Linked DNA regions of Pelodiscus sinensis. Each later gene encodes a partner of the first gene's protein in a complex. Links are inferred from orthologs where the notes say so. Each region holds a gene or a part of one and is shown on either strand. Other genes may lie near its edges.

Region 1 (7,787 bases):
TGCCCTAAACAAAGGATGGTCTCAAACATTGTTACTTATGTATCAATAATTTAAAGAAAACGCTTTATCAGAAAAGCCATTCACAAAGCCTGAAAACTAGGAAGTACAATATAAAGAGTAGGATTAAAAGTTTAACATAAACCTAGAGAGGAAAAAAAAATCAACGATTAAGAAAAATTACACGAATTTTTTATATTTTTAAATTTAAAGGTTTATTTTTTAAATAAACATTTACAATTACATTTGAAGATGACAATGTTAAGCAATAAACTTATTACAATCATTTAAATTAAATACAAAAATAATATTAACCAGCAAATTATTTAAAGAAAGTCTAACCACTGCAACAGTGAAAGTCACTGGTTAAGCAGCTGGAAGCAAAGTTTGCTGAACTGCTAAACCAGATTTTGACAGTAATAGTCTTTGATACAGGCGCAAAAAAAAAAATCTATCTTTATGTCAATTTATTCAACTAGTTCAGTTCAATTACTAGTCTATTCAATGTTAATAAATCAAATGGGAATTGAAGCTGAATAAAAGCTAGTTTTTATTTATAGACTGAAAAAGGAAAGCAAAGTGTGAGAGGATGGGATGTACTGGTTCTACAAGGACATGGTGACCAGAACTGATCACAAGTCAATGCATAAACTACAGACAACTTCCTTTAATATATTAGTTACTTTTAAATACAAAACATGTTGAGAAAATTTAATTTTTTATGAATTCAGCACTTCGGACAATTTAAAATGCTATTTCCACTTAATGCACTTTAATTTAAATGTGAATTTCCTTGCCAATAGAGCTTGGCACAAATAATAAAAAAATAATCATCTTGTAAAACAATAAATGTATCATTCATGATTTTCTAACAATCAAAATGTAAAAACTAAAAATGTGAACTAAATGTAAATCAAGCTATATAAGTGCTTAAATGTAAATAGCTACACCATATACCCCTAGTTAGCAATAAGCAGCACCACATCTAGTGTAAACGGAAAATCAACTTTTCTTTGGGAAAATAACTAAAAGTACAAATGGACAACGAAAACTGAATTACATCCAGGTTTCTGCTTGATTATTTAAATTGTTAGTAAGGTTGGAAAGGAAGCTCTTTGGGGGTACCGACTGTTTTTTCTTCTATTTGTACAGCATCTAGCACAATAGGCTTCTGCTCAATGATTAGGGCTGCTAAGCATTATGGGAATATGAATAAACAAACAGTAGAAAATATCTTACAACAAAGACAAGTATAGTTCATGTGCCACTGCCCCATTCTAGGACCTTTACAAAAGACAAAGGATATTTTACAACTATATTAGCAACTTGCTATCTATAAACTGCGGATGCATAGACTTTGGAGGGAGAGATGCACACCCACCTCCCTTCCTCTGCACACCTAGGTGTGTGCGTGACTGGATTGGAGGGTGGGGAGAGGAAGGTTCCCTGGCCTTCCTGAAATGTGTACAGCTTGAACCTATTCTAGTACTCTCTGGTCTGGTATGATTTTAGTTAGCTCGATGTCCACTCATCATGAGTGTGGCCATGTTTCCCATGGTCCCATACAACTGGAAAATGTTACTAGACGCCCAAGTCCCAGTCTAAATAACCAAGACCCCTATAGGACTCAAGATGTCAATGGTATGGAATAGCACCTCGTTACCTTATGCTATAGGTTACCAAGGATAGATAGGGGACTCCCTACACTCTGTGCTTCCCCCTTGCTAGTGCTCATGGATAATTACACAGGACACCATCAGTTTAATCACTTGTCTACTGTCACAACACTTGAGCAAGCCACCACTACAGGAAGAAGCCATGGACTTGGTGAGAGACTCGGATAGGAACATGATGATCGAATCAGATGTTGGAAGTAGAGGGTACGGAAGTGGTTTCCATTATATCTACACAGGACTTACAGTTAAAGTCAATGGTTCTCAGCACCCACATTATAAAAATTATTCTAGCTCCTCTGGTTTGAGTGACACTTGGCAATAAGTAGCAAACCCATGAGCCCTGCTGTTGTTTTCTATTAGAGCTGTCGAGACAGGACTACAGCATCCCTGGGGCCAGTTCTGCACAACAGCTTGACTCAATGTAACTAATTCTGACTGTGAGTGAGTGGCGAAAGGGGGATCCCCTTGGGCCCCTGCAACTCTTGGGGGAGGAGGGGAAGGAAGGGCTCTCCTTGGGCCCTGCAACCCTTGGGGGAGGAGGGGAAGGAAGGGCTCTCCTTGGGAATATGCAGCTGGGGGCAGCGGGGGTGGTGCAAGGAAGCTCTTGGCGGGCCTAGTCGCCTCTGTGCAAGAGGGGGAAAGGAGGGACCCCCTGTGGCCCCCGCAGCTGTGTAGGGGCAGGTGAGAAGGCAGGGACCCCCCTGCTGCTCGGTGGCAAGAGAGAGACTCTCCCGAGCCATGGAGTGCAGCGCTGGTGGGGGAGGGAACCCCCCAACCAATGCAATGGGGGGGTTAGAAAGCAGGACACCTGGCCCACGCAGCTCGAGGGGGGCAGACACGGGACCCCCCCCCCGGCTCACGCAGCTCGAGGGGGGCAGACACGGGACCCCCCCCCCGGCTCACGCAGCTCGAGGGGGGCAGACACGGGACCCCCCCCCGGCTCACGCAGCTCGAGGGGGGCAGACTCGGGACCCCCCCCGGCTCACGCAGCTCGAGGGGGGCAGACTCGGGACCCCCCCCGGCTCACACAGCTCGGGGGGGAGGGGCAGACACGGGACCCCCCCCGGCTCACGCAGCTCGTGGGGGAGGGGCAGACACGGGACCCCCCCCCCCCCGGCTCACGCAGCTCGTGGGGGAGGGGCAGACACGGGACCCCCCCCCGGCTCACGCAGCTCGTGGGGGAGGGGCAGACTCGGGACCCCCCCCCGGCTCACACAGCTCGGGGGGGAGGGGCAGACACGGGACCCCCCCCGGCTCACGCAGCTCGTGGGGGAGGGGCAGACACGGGACCCCCCCCCCCGGCTCACGCAGCTCGTGGGGGAGGGGCAGACACGGGACCCCCCCCCCCCCGGCTCACGCAGCTCGTGGGGGAGGGGCAGACACGGGACCCCCCCCCGGCTCACGCAGCTCGAGGGGGGCAGACTCGGGACCCCCCCCCGGCTCACGCAGCTCGGGGGGGGAGGGGCAGACACGGGACCCATCCGCCTACGCAGCTCGGGGTGGGAGGGGGGCGCCCTCGCGCTCCCAGGCTGCCCCGCTCCAACCGCCCCGCTCGCGCCCGAGAACTCACCGGCGCGCGAGGCCGCCCGACGCGGGAAGGCGGGCGGGGGGCACGGGGGAGCAGGAGGAGGGGGGGACGACGCTGGCTTCGGCGGCTGCTGCGCTCCTATTGGCCCAGCGGCCGGGTACAGCGTCAGCTCAGAACGCCATACGTGGGGCGCAGGGAGCCTGCGCGGTGCGCACTGGAACTGCGCAGGCGCCGTGAGAGCCGCTGCCCTCCCTCGGCCCGCACGTGGCTCGCGGCGCGTCAATTAACTGTAGCGAGCGGCAGAGCAGGGGCTGCAAGGGAGCCCCGTGTGGATTGTGCAAAGCCGGGCTGGGGGCGGAGGGGGGACTCGTACCAGCAGCACAGGAGCCGCAATGCCCTAAGCGTCTCCCCCAGGCCATGCAGCGCGGGAGGGAGCCAGCCTGTAACCCCCGGGAGGATTTAAAAGTCTCTTATCCATTTGTACCTGAAGTCTCATCATAGCTCCTAAATTTGTCTTAGCTGTTGCTGTGATGCCCTGAATTGCACGCCCCTCCTGGTGACCCATTGTAAGGGCAGCTTTGCTCGAGCCAAGCATTTGAGCTTTTATTTAAACCCCCAGACCAAAACAATCACAATAGAAGGTAAACTGAAAAAACAACCAATAGTCTGGTAGCACTTTGTAAACTTACAGAACATGTAGAAAGCGGCGAGGAGTCCTGAGGCACCTTATAGACTAACAGAAGTGTAGGAGCATAAGCTTTCGTGGGCAAAGACCCACTTCCTCAGATGCACGAAAGCTTATGCTCCAACACTTCAGTTAGTCTATAAGGTGCCACAGGACTCCTCTCCGCTTTTGCAGATTCAGACTAACACGGCTACCCCTCTGATACTTGAAAACATGTAGAAAGTATTTGTTTGGGGGGAGGAGGGGGAGAGAGAAGAGAAAGGGTATGGTCTGGATTTTTGTTTTGTTTTAAATGTTCCTATATAAGTACGAAACAAGCAGCCCATTGAAAGCACTAACAATATTTCCAATGATTTGAGGATAAGTAAAGGTAATCTTAATACGGGTTGAGTGGCTCTAGTCCAGCACCCTTAGGATCTGATAGAAGGTCAGTATTGTCTAGCAGCATGACCAACACTTCCAGGCTGTGTCTACACTGGGCCACTTATTCCAGAAAAGCAGCCGCTTTTCCAGAATAACTTGAAAGCTGTCTGCACTGGCCGTTTGCTTTTCCGGAAAAGCAATGACGATCTACTGTAAAATTGTCAGTGCTTTTCCGGAAAAACTATGCTGCTCCCATTCGGGCAAAAGTCCTTTTCTGGAAAAACTGTTCCAGAAAAGGGCCAGTGTAGACAGCACAGTAGTCTTTTCCGCAAAAAGCCTCGATTGCGAAAATGACGATCGGGGCTTTTTTCCGGAAAAGTGCGTCTACATTGGCCACGGACGCTTTTCCGGAAAAAGTGCTTTTCTGGAAAAGCATCCTGCCAATGTAGACGCACTTTTTCCGGTAATACTTATAACGGAAAACTGTTCCGTTTTAAGCATTTCTGGAAAAGGGTGCCAGTGTAGACGTAGCCCCACTGTTTATTGGGGTTTTAGAAGACATTTAGGGATAAATTAGAACTAAACAGCACAGAACACTGACAGCCAAGGCTGGTGACTGTAAACAAACTTTATGGGACAGTGGGAAACTTGGTTATGCCCATCCATATAACCCATCCATATAACAAAAATCAGGCCAGATTGTGGATGTTGTCAGACCAGACAGTGCCAGACTAGAGTGGGTCAACCCATATATTTTAGTTTTAAGAACAGATTAATCAATTCAGCTGAGCATCCAAAAGCAGCTGAACTGTACTGGTGAATCTGGCCACTAATAACAATTGATCGATTCATTCAAAAGTTCATGTTCCTATATTTTATAATTGTAACTATATGGAAAATTTGAAGAATCTATATTATATTCCATGATTAACATAATTTAAGTCACAGTGAAGACTGGTAAAATGTGGAATATTTTAATGCACAATTTTAACTCTAATTAGAAAATTTACTTGCACATTCTTAGAAAATTCACTAAAAACTCAGATATTAAGTGTAGTGAGTTTGGGGAGAATATGTTGTACTTTTTATGCATAACGAGAAGTTGCTTTAAATGCTAAGTGCAACTCAACCTGACTTATGGAATCACTCACTACTGGAGCCTCTATTACAAAAAGTCTTACCGGTAATACTTTAAGAAAATGGTCTACATTTACTCAGAACCAAAATACTAACTCCCTGTTTTTATTTAAACATCCTCTGGTAATGTGTGAAAGCTAAAGGCTGAAATATTGTGCTTATGCAGGGGAAGAAGAAAGTTCTTAATAGGTAGCAAGTTAAAACAAACATAAGGAAGTACTTCACAAAACACACAATCATCCTGTGGAACTCCTTGGCAGAGGATGTTGTGAAGTACAAGATCTGTAACAGGGTTCAAAAAAGAGCTAGATGAATTCATGGAAGATAGGTCCACCAATGGCTATTAGCCAAGATGGGTAGGAATGGTGTCTCTAGCCTCTGTTAGGAACTGAGACTGGGCAAACAGGCTACATCAACACGGCACACTTATTTTGGAATAAGCTATTTTGGAAGAAATACTCTGAAATAGCTTATTTCGAGATTGTGCATGTACACTACAGGGAAGCCTCAAAATTAGTCTCGGGCAGGCTCCCCTAATCTGGATGTACTACCTCAATGTAGAGCCCCAGGAAGCACTAGGGAGTAATTACTTTGAATGGGCCTGGGGGAGGAGCTATTTTGAAATAGCAGCAGTGGAGTGTTCACACTACTGCTATTCCAAAAAAAATTATTTCAAAAGAGGCATTACTCCTTGTGGAATGAGGTTTACAGAATCCAGAATAAGCCGCCCGTCATTTTGATATTGCAAAATAACAGAATTGTGTAGACGCTCGCAAAGTTATTTCGGAATAACGTCCATTATTCCGAAACAGCGTTGTTGTGTAGACGCATTCCTAGGATTGGATCAATTGATGATTAACTGTTCTTTTCATTCCCGTTAGGGCACCTGGCATTGGCCACTATCGGAAGATAGAATTCTGGGCTAGATGGACCTTTGTTCTGACCCAGCATGGCCATTCTTATGTTTAAGTGAACCTGACTATAAACAAAAATTGACCAATCTAAGTGAAGTGCAAAAAGTAAACAATACAAATACTGTAAAATCTTTTCAATATTTTAAAATTCCCTGTTTTAAGAAGCTAAAATGTTATTAATGTATGAAAGGAAGTTTTGTTTAAAAAGAAATCTGACTGTCCTTGCATTCAATAGGGGAAGATAAGATCTTGTACATCAAGTTTCAGTTTGGAGCAGTTGTATACAGCAGAGATCCAATCACCTGAGATAGCCCCATACAAAAAAAGTTTTGGCATAGCTAGTAGAGCATGGTTTCTAAAGAATCTTCACTCCCAAAATAACTTTTATTACACCGTGTAATACTTTTCCAAGATGATATTCCTTATCCATAATGCTGGGACCAGTATGGCATATTTTAAAACTGTTTTACTGATCTACAAAGAAAAGAGGTCAGATAGCATCACTGTTGTTCCTTCCTACAACAGTTTTCACCCTCTTTTATATGTCTATCACCAATTTGAGTTAGAAATACATTTAGTTTCCTTTAGAATTCCATTTATTGTCACATTGCTAAACTACAAACTTAAATACTTTTATTTAAAACAAAAGTAGGATACTGTAGTGAGGTTGCACTCTGATAAAACGTGATTATGTTTTTAAAAATATGCTGCTTACTATTTAATACTATAAAGTGAAATACACTCATTTCAGCTTTCCGAGCACTTCTTTTTCTGACTCTTTTTTCAGTGTCAGTCCTCATTCTCATGCCACTAAAATAAGTTTCTAAAAATAAAACGAATAAAAGGAAGTACTTCTTCACAGAACACTCAGTCAACCTGTGGAACTCCTTGGCAGAGGATGTTGTGAAAGCCAAGATCAATTATAATCAATCAATTACATTTGTTAAACAGAACTAACATGATACATACAATTGAAAAGCAAGTGACCTCATTACTATCTACTGTGTAAATCTACCTATTGTTAACCACAAACTTTGTATACTGTCTTTTTTTTCTTGTCACATTTTATTTAACCTCATTTTTTGAGGGTTACAGAATCTTTCGAAACGAGGCATTTCTGTCGAAAGATCCCTGTCTTAGCCACGTTTTTTTTTTTCAAAAAGTGGCTTCAAAAAAAAAAGTTGTGGCCGCCATTATGCAAATGAAGCACAGGAAATTCAAATTCCGGCTTCATTTACAATTTCAATATGTCTAATTTACATCCCTTTATCAAAAAAGGGATGTAGTTTAGACATACCCAAAGAGACCTTGGGGAGAGGCTCCCTCCCGAGGTCAGATACAGTCTGACCCCTGCACTGCACAGTCTAATATCAGCTCCTCTCCCTTGCCAGCACCATGAAACCCACCCTAGAGCCAGACCTGGACATGCACTTCCTGAGAGCTGCTCTGAACACGGTCCTGGACACAGAACAGGACACCTCCCAAGG
Region 2 (7,979 bases), on another chromosome or scaffold:
CATAAGGGAACCGATTGCAAACTGCAAACCAAACACAGAGATTAGTGTTGAAACAGAGACGGTGAGTTGCCTCTACCTGAGCAGGGCTGCTCATCCCCAGTATTTTAGCACCCCCTGCTGGAAGAGGCTGGGAATGAATGACCTAGCCCTCTTGCTCTGCTCCCTCTTCCTTGCTGGGAGAGGCTAGGGCTGGATTAGCCATGAGTTCCTGCCCCCAGTTCCATGCTGAGAGCTGTGGATCTACACGCGTGCATGCACCATATTTGAAAGAGGCACCAAAGACTCACAATGTCATTCTTATCCACTCTGGTCCCCACGATTTTCAGCCGGATCTCATCATCCTGCTGGATCACGATGTCCTAGAGACATGCAGCACTAGAGTGAGACCCATTTACAAACTTCCTCCTTTTCTCAGGCAGAGGCCAAAAAGGCTAAACACAGAGTTGCACATAACTCCAGCAAATAAAGCGTGTCTGATATGGAGGAAGTAAAATTCTCCCCACCACCCATGAGCCTGTTCCAGCATCTCCCTTGTCCCCAGCTGAGTCTCTCTCCCTCTCCACGCACCCCCATTACACCACAAGCTCCCCTCAAAACACCATCTACCCAGGACTCACCTCATCCACTGTCTTGTAGCAGGGAGGGTTGGAGTTTGGGTCAAATTCCATCTCGGAGGGAATGGACTGAGAAGAGAACAAGAGTCAGTGAAAAAGGAGCTCTCCATATATCACCCTACCTGCTCCCAAAGCTGCCTCTCCCCAGCACTGTGCTTACGTGTCGAGATATGAAACAGGACATGGGCCCAATTTCGGTGAAGAGTCCAACCTATAGGAAGCAGAAGCAGTGATTCCATTAGCATATACAGGCAGTCCCTGGGTTACGTACAAGATAGGAACTATAGGTTTGTTCTTAAGTTGAATTTGTATGCAAGTCGGAACTGGCTCCAGATTCAGCCGCTGCTGCTGAAACTGACCAGGGGCTGACTACAGGAAGCTGGAGGCAGAATTGCTCTGCCCCCAGCTTCCTGGAATCAGCCACTGATCAGTTTCAACAGCAGCTGAATCTTGAGCCTGGGACAGAACAGCTGGGCTGCCAGGTAGGTCCCTGCAGGACCAACCCGGCAGCACCCCAGCTGCTCTACCCCAGGGTCCACAACAAAAGCCTGGTCTGCTGGGGGGGAGGGGGCACTAGCTGCGCCCTCTCTCCCCCCCAGCAGACCAGGGACATGGGGAGCAAAGCCGCAGCGGTGGCGGGGTCCCGTGCCTCTGAGGCTTTGCTCTGGCAAAGCCTCAGAGGCGCGGGACCCCACCGCCACTGCGGCTTTGCTCCCGGTGTCCCTGGTCTGCTGGAGACGGTCCCCAGCAGACCAGGGGCACCCGGAGCAGCTTTTCTCACCCCGGAGGTCGAGGTGGCAGGACCGCTGCGCTCTGGCCGGTCCCGCTGCCTGCGAGCTCCGGGGCGAGAAAGCCCCATTCGTAAGTGCGGATCTGACATAAGTCGGATCCGCGTAACTCAGGGACTGCCTGTACACATGGAGGTTATCCTGTTCCCTCATCAATAGCTACACCCTCTCCAGCCCCAAGACAGCCACTGCTCACACCCTGGGACTCAGATACTAGTCAGACAGAACAGCCTTCGCACATTCCTCCCAGAGCTGCTTTGGGGTTCCTACATCCTTGGTACAAGGACACCGCATAGTCCCAAGCTAGGGATCCACCCACAGGTTTAGCTACATGAATCACCCTTTCCTTCACCGGCCTTGAAGAGAACAGGATTGTTTGCATTGACACAACCATTGTAGCTCAGCGTTATGACAATGGCTATAATCTGATCTCATGCTTCAGAGCTTCAGCAGAAATCAGGAAGGAATAGTTTCCTCCAAATGCACAATCTGTGTTAGGCTGGGTTCCCCACTGCACTTTCCTCTGAAACAGCAGAGACTGGCCACTGCTGGAAATGGAACACTGGGCATAGTGGGCCAGGACTCTGAGATGGTCCAGAGAACCCTCTTCCTAAATGCCTGGCTTGGGCACCATGCTCAAATTGCCAGACGAGTCAGGAAGGAATTTTCCCCTCCAACTCAGACTGACATGGACCTTTGGAGCATCTTGCTTTCCCTTACAGACCTGCGCATGTAAATCACTTGCTCAAATCATCTGGGCATATCTTGCCAAGTCAATTCCCTGCCACTCTGGGTCCTCGGAGGGGCACTGGTAACTGTTTGGTCTCTCCTGTTCTCTGCCCGGGGCTCTCAACTTTTGAGTTACCACAGGACTCAAGTAATTGGATTCAATGCAGGGGTGTCTGGGTGACTTCTCTGGCCTGTGTTATACAGGAGGGCAGAGGAGATGATATAATGGTCCTCTCATTATATACTCCACAAATTCATACAAATGCACCCCACCCCTGCAGCAATGGCTTACCTTGTTGACCTGTGTCACCACAGCATCCACCACCTCTCCCTTGAAGGGCCGGAAGACAATGGCCTTGTACTTGACAGGGTAGAGCACGAAGCCACGACCCGGCTGGATGACACCTGCCCCAATGTTGTCTATGGTAGTGACTGCAATGACAAAGCCATATCTGGGGGAGAGTGGGAACCAGCTCTGTTAGAGAATTCACAGGCAGAGAACAGGACAAAGAATGAGCTGCAATAGAGGGGACTTCCCCCATTCACCACCAGGGGCTAGGTTCTTCCGGTCCCTCCAAAACAGCAACCCTATCCCCTTCCTTCCATGAATCTGCACCTGTCCTGGATCTCCAACCCACCACCCCACTGCTTCCCAAACCCTCCAAATACATTCCCATCTCCCCCAGCCTTGTTACCTCCATCTCAACCCCGCACAGACCTGTCCCTCCAGACTCTCCTGCCCCTACTCACTTGCCAGTGCAGGTCCCCTCCACCTCTGTGAACAGCTTCTGCTTGACAGTGTTAAGAAGATTGGGCCCAAAGTAGCGTGGATGCAGCAGGATCTCATGCTCCAGGGAGATCTATGAAAAAGGGGAAAAAGGAGAGACCTGTCACTAAGAGGGGAAAGGAGGCAATCCTCAGCCAACCCCTCCCTCCCTTCCTTCCCCACCTCATGGCAGTAAATGATGGGGCAGAACCTCAGTGCCCCTGGGGCAGAGGGAACAGTGGCAGCTGACATCCCTCAATTTGGGGGAAGGTTCCCCCTGGAGCACAGGGAATGGTGCATGCTGGGGCCCTGGAGAGAATCCCCGTGGGGGCAGAGCCAGTAATGCATTCTGGGACTGCAAAGGGGGACAGGAAGGAGGAGGCAGCTGATGCACTTGGGGGTGGGTTGTTTGGAGGGGGGAGTCGAGGAGCAACTGATTCTGGGGTGAAAGGGCTACAAGCACAGCTGAGCCTCAGGGGAAGGATTGCCCAGGCTCTGGCGGGGGGGGGGGGCAGCTGGCCCCCAGAAGGGGGAGAAGATTGCCCAGACCCCTGTCATGGGGAGAGGCTGGCCGCCGGGGGAGTGGGGGAGAAAGGCTGTCCAGGCACTGGCGGGGCATGGCTGGGGCCTGGTGGGGGGGCAGCTACTCCCCAATAGATCTCCTGGGCGGAGACCGTCACTCACGTGGTAAAACATCTTCCAAGAGGCCGGGACCGGAAGCAACCCGCAGTTATCCCCACCCACCCAGGCTCCTTCCTCACTGGCCTGCGACACACAGGTGTACTGAGCATGCGCACCCGAACTGAGCATGCTCAGTAACAGCTGCTGTTGCTGCGGCCCTCACAGGGATTCAGACTCTGCTTCCTGTCGGAATGTGCAGCTTCGCGTGTACTGAGCATGCTCAGTTAGCTCCGCTGGCGCCACTGCCCTTCTCCCTGCCCTCACTTTATGCGTTCTGCCGGCTGCTTTTGGCAGGGAGTTACAAAGGGGGCAAATTGCCGCGCGGGGATGGGCAGGGTCTGAGCAGGGTACAGAAATACATTGACCAGGGTGAGGCAGAAGAGTGGCTGGAGGGGAAAAAGGAAGGGGCGTAGGAACAGGGGTTTAGCTTAGGGAACAGATACTGCCAGTCCCGGAGGGGCGGGGGGGGAAAGGGGATTAATACTTATCCGGGTGGGATGAGCCACATACTCAGTGTGCAAAGACAGGGATGGGAGTATAGAAATGGGGGGTTATTTTCCCTTTCAGGATACTATGTACCTGTGCTGGAGAACAAGGCAGATTCCTCGCTGTGTTCTGAAAGTTACAACTGTCCTAATTCATTGGCTCTCACTGGTAGACCTTCAAAGCGACTCTCTAACTACACTGCTGCATGTTCAGGAGTCTGGATGCTGTAAAATATCAGACATGCAGAGTCTGAGGGAGTGTGTAACACATTTTGAGTATTTAAATGTCTCTTATCAATGTATAGGACTATGTAGCACTTTAAAGACTAACAAGATGGTTTATTAGATGAAGTGGGTCTGGCCCACGAAAGCTCATCATCTAATAAGCCATCTTGTTAGTCTTTAAAGTGCTACATAGTCCTGTATTTTGTTTCAGCTACACCAGACTAACACGGCTACATTTCTATCTCTTATCAATGTATACGTCAACATGAAGTCTCATTACAGTTCATAAATTTGTGTCTTATTTGCTGCTGCAAGTGTTTGAATTGCGCTCCCGTCCTTGCAACCCATTTGTTCCTTTGCAAATGTTATTTCCTTTACTCTGAACACTTCATCATTTACCTATACTATCATTGTGCAATGCATGTCAAAAACCCTGTTTGTTTTTATTTTAATAGCTAATGCTGAAAACTTTGAAGTAAATAGTAGTTACTGGTTTTAGCAATTTTATCTGTGTTTCTATTATAAGGTGCCACAGGACTCCTCGTTGCTATTATAGCACTTGCTATATGTTTTGTACTTTGATTTGTAACTTAGAGGTTTTTATTAAACTTGTGCTATAAAAAGAAAAAAGTAGATTTCTGCTGGGTCTGTTACCTACCAGCTCTTTGTTCTTAGAGAATGAGGGCATAGTCTGTCTGACCCATTAAAGACCTTTTCCCCCGCTCCCACCCCCAGTCTCTGCTTGCACCAAAGCTGATCAAAAGACTTGGAAAATGCAATGAAAAGGCAAGAGAAGATAGATCTAAACCCCTCTGAAAGCTCCCCTAGACTCATGTGCATCACTTCCTTAATATATACAATGGAAACCAGAAAGTCCAAGGCAAGAACTGCATTGAACTCCGGGACCCAAAAAGAATAGAAGCATTGCCTGATGGACATTCCTGTTTCAATTGCTAATGAACTCATGCCTACATGCACCCAGATAAGTAATTGTCAGACCAATTATAGTAACAAGCATTTTATTGGTATCCAAAATATAGGTTGAACCTCCATCACCCTTGGACTGGTGGCTGTAAACAAACTATGGGACCATGGGCAACTGGCCACATCCACAAGTAGACATCTGGCAAATAAAATCATACTGGACCTGGATGTTGCTGGACCAGAGAGTGCCAGAGTAGAGAGGTTCAGTTTGTACTGAAGCTGCTTAATTGTATTATGATGTCCATCTAAGGCACAGAAAAACCTACAGCCTGCGTTAATTTAAAAAACAAAACAACAACAAAAAACAAATCTCTACCCAGGCTCAAGAAAGGGTTCTGATGCTTGGATCCAAATTCTGCATCAGTTCCATTTAAGCAGCATATTGATAGAGTTATCAACCCCCTCTTCCCAGAAGAGTAACCCTAATAAATGAGCATACCCAAATTAACAGGCAGAGCTGGTAACTTGTCATGTGACTAATTTCCTGTCTTGTTTTCAACAATTCATTTCGATTATTTTGCTAATCAAATAGTCAATTTGTATCGACTATTCAATTAGCCAAATAATCAAAATTTTACATCCCTAGAATCTATGCAGAAGAGTGAATGCTTGCTTTTGAAAACATCTTGGAACAAAAAGCAAATTGTTTTGGTTTATACACCAATTTATAATAATATAGCTTTTCAAATTACAAAAAGGCTACGTCTACACTGGCCCCTTCTTCGGAAGAGGCATGCTAATTTCTAACTTTGGAATAGGGAAATCCGCGGGGGATTTAAATATCCCCCGCGGGATTTAAATAAACATGTCCGCCGCTTTTTTTCCAGCTTGGGGAAAAGCCGGAAAAGAGCGTCCAGACTGGCGCGAGCCTCTGGAATAAAGCCCTTTTCCGGAGGATCTCTTATTCCTACTTCAGGTAACTTCAGGTAGGAATAAGAGATCCTCCGGAAAAGGGCTTTATTCCGGAGGCTCGCGCCAGTCTGGACGCTCTTTTCCGGCTTTTCCCCAAGCCGGAAAAAAAGCGGCGGACATGTTTATTTAAATCCCGCGGGGGATATTTAAATCCCCCGCGGATTTCCCTATTCCAAAGTTAGAAATTAGCATGCCTCTTCCGAAGAAGGGGCCAGTGTAGACGTAGCCAAAATGTGTGTATGTGTATTAAGTCAAGGCAAACCTCATCCCTTCAAATTTGCTACCTCTGGACCAGGGGATGTGAACAGCACCTCTGGACTGGTGACAGCTATGCTTGTTGCTTATTCCTCTGAATTTGCTGCCCCTGGATGAGAGGATGTGAAGTGGCAAATGATGCTGGCTAAGCAAATAGTGACATACTATTACCGCTACCAGAAGCAAAATTGGAGGGATGCTGTTCATGTTTCTACACCTGTCCTTCAGAGAAACTAACCTGTAGTTCTGTGCACACGCGTTCCTCAGTGCTCATTGTATAGCTGCACTGGCCAGAGGACTTCACGGGGCGCTCTGGCTCTGGCAGGTGAGAGAGGAGCACAAAAACAGTGAAGGGTGGGGCAAAGAGTGATTGACAGGAGGCGAGTTATACGAAATCCTGTTTTATTAGGTAGTCAGGTACAAAAATAAACTCTGGAAAGCAAGGAACACATGTGCCTGAGTCAGCAGCTCCCGCCCCAGCCTTGTGCAGCCTATTCCCCTGCCCCAATCTGGGAGGGGGCCCTGTAGTTCCTCCCCCAATTCCCTGTCAGAGATTCCCCCCTGTGAGTAGAAGACCTCAGTTCCTCCATCGTTTTCCAATTCACCATCAAAGGGGCCATGAGACCCCCTGTATCAAATCCCTGATCAACACTCCTGGGAGCCAAGCTCAAAGGGTGCTTACGCCAGTATGTCCCAGCTTTCCACTACCCTTCCCTCTGCCAGCACACCCCACTCTCTACCAAATCCCCAACCACCACTTCCCAGTACACAGAAGCACAGGGGTGGGGAAGATCCAGCCCATGGCTCCCTTGCTAGGATCCTAAGTACAGAACCACTCATGATGCTTTAAGCAGCTGGCTGTTCTCTGTTCTGGATGCTGAACAGGGATGGGGAAGCTTTGCGCTCTGCTCCTGCTCCCCTGCAAAACCTCTCAGTTCCCATTGGCTAGTTTCTGGCCAGCAGGATCTGAGAAATTTTGGGAGCAGTGGCAACATGTGAAGCCTTCCTCTTCCCCTCAGCACCAGAACAGAGCCACATGACGTAACCAGGGATTGCAGCAGACGGCAGTGAGGCTGCCTCAGTTTCTTGCAGGGCTGCTGACTAGGAGCCACCTAGGTAAGTGCCTCCCAGCCAGAGCCTGCCTCTGGCACCCCAGCCCCTCCCCCTGCACACAATCTGCCCCAGATCACCATCCAAACCCTCTGCACACCCTTTCCCCAGGTCACAGCTCCCTCCCAGACTCTGCATCCCCTCCCATACCCCTTCTCCAGGCCAGAATCCTCTTTTGCACCCATACCTGCTCCCAGATCCTGCACTGCAAGACCCTGCCCCAGGTCACAACCCTGTCTCTCACCCAACTCCCACATCCTCTCTTGCACCCCAGTCCCCTATTCCAAGCTCCCTTCTGCACCCAGTACCCCCTCCATAGAAGTGCGGCCCTTGACCACTTACCAAATTCTTGGAGTGGCCCTCCCATTAAAAATTATTGCCCACCCCTGCAATAGCATCTTGGTCTGACAGCACCCTGTGCTCAGATCCA

The links. Proteins that work in one complex are often made in the same cells at the same time.
Region 2: GTF2E2 (region 1) and POLR2G share a complex: the UniProt entries of both Homo sapiens proteins name them as parts of the TBP-based Pol II pre-initiation complex. The link is inferred for Pelodiscus sinensis from reciprocal best matches to the Homo sapiens genes GTF2E2 and POLR2G.

What each region holds. Positions count from the first base shown.
Region 1 is NC_134715.1:5,047,732-5,055,518, reverse strand, and holds the start of GTF2E2 (transcription initiation factor IIE subunit beta), read right to left. Parts: upstream 3,410-7,787; 5' UTR 3,244-3,409; intron 1-3,243. UniProt on the Homo sapiens protein: Recruits TFIIH to the initiation complex and stimulates the RNA polymerase II C-terminal domain kinase and DNA-dependent ATPase activities of TFIIH. Both TFIIH and TFIIE are required for promoter clearance by RNA polymerase.
Region 2 is NC_134721.1:36,810,076-36,818,054, reverse strand, and holds the start of POLR2G (DNA-directed RNA polymerase II subunit RPB7), read right to left. Parts: upstream 3,353-7,979; 5' UTR 3,150-3,352; coding exon 3,081-3,149; intron 2,992-3,080; coding exon 2,882-2,991; intron 2,584-2,881; coding exon 2,424-2,583; intron 826-2,423; coding exon 775-825; intron 684-774; coding exon 618-683; intron 360-617; coding exon 288-359; intron 22-287; coding exon 1-21. UniProt on the Homo sapiens protein: Core component of RNA polymerase II (Pol II), a DNA-dependent RNA polymerase which synthesizes mRNA precursors and many functional non-coding RNAs using the four ribonucleoside triphosphates as substrates.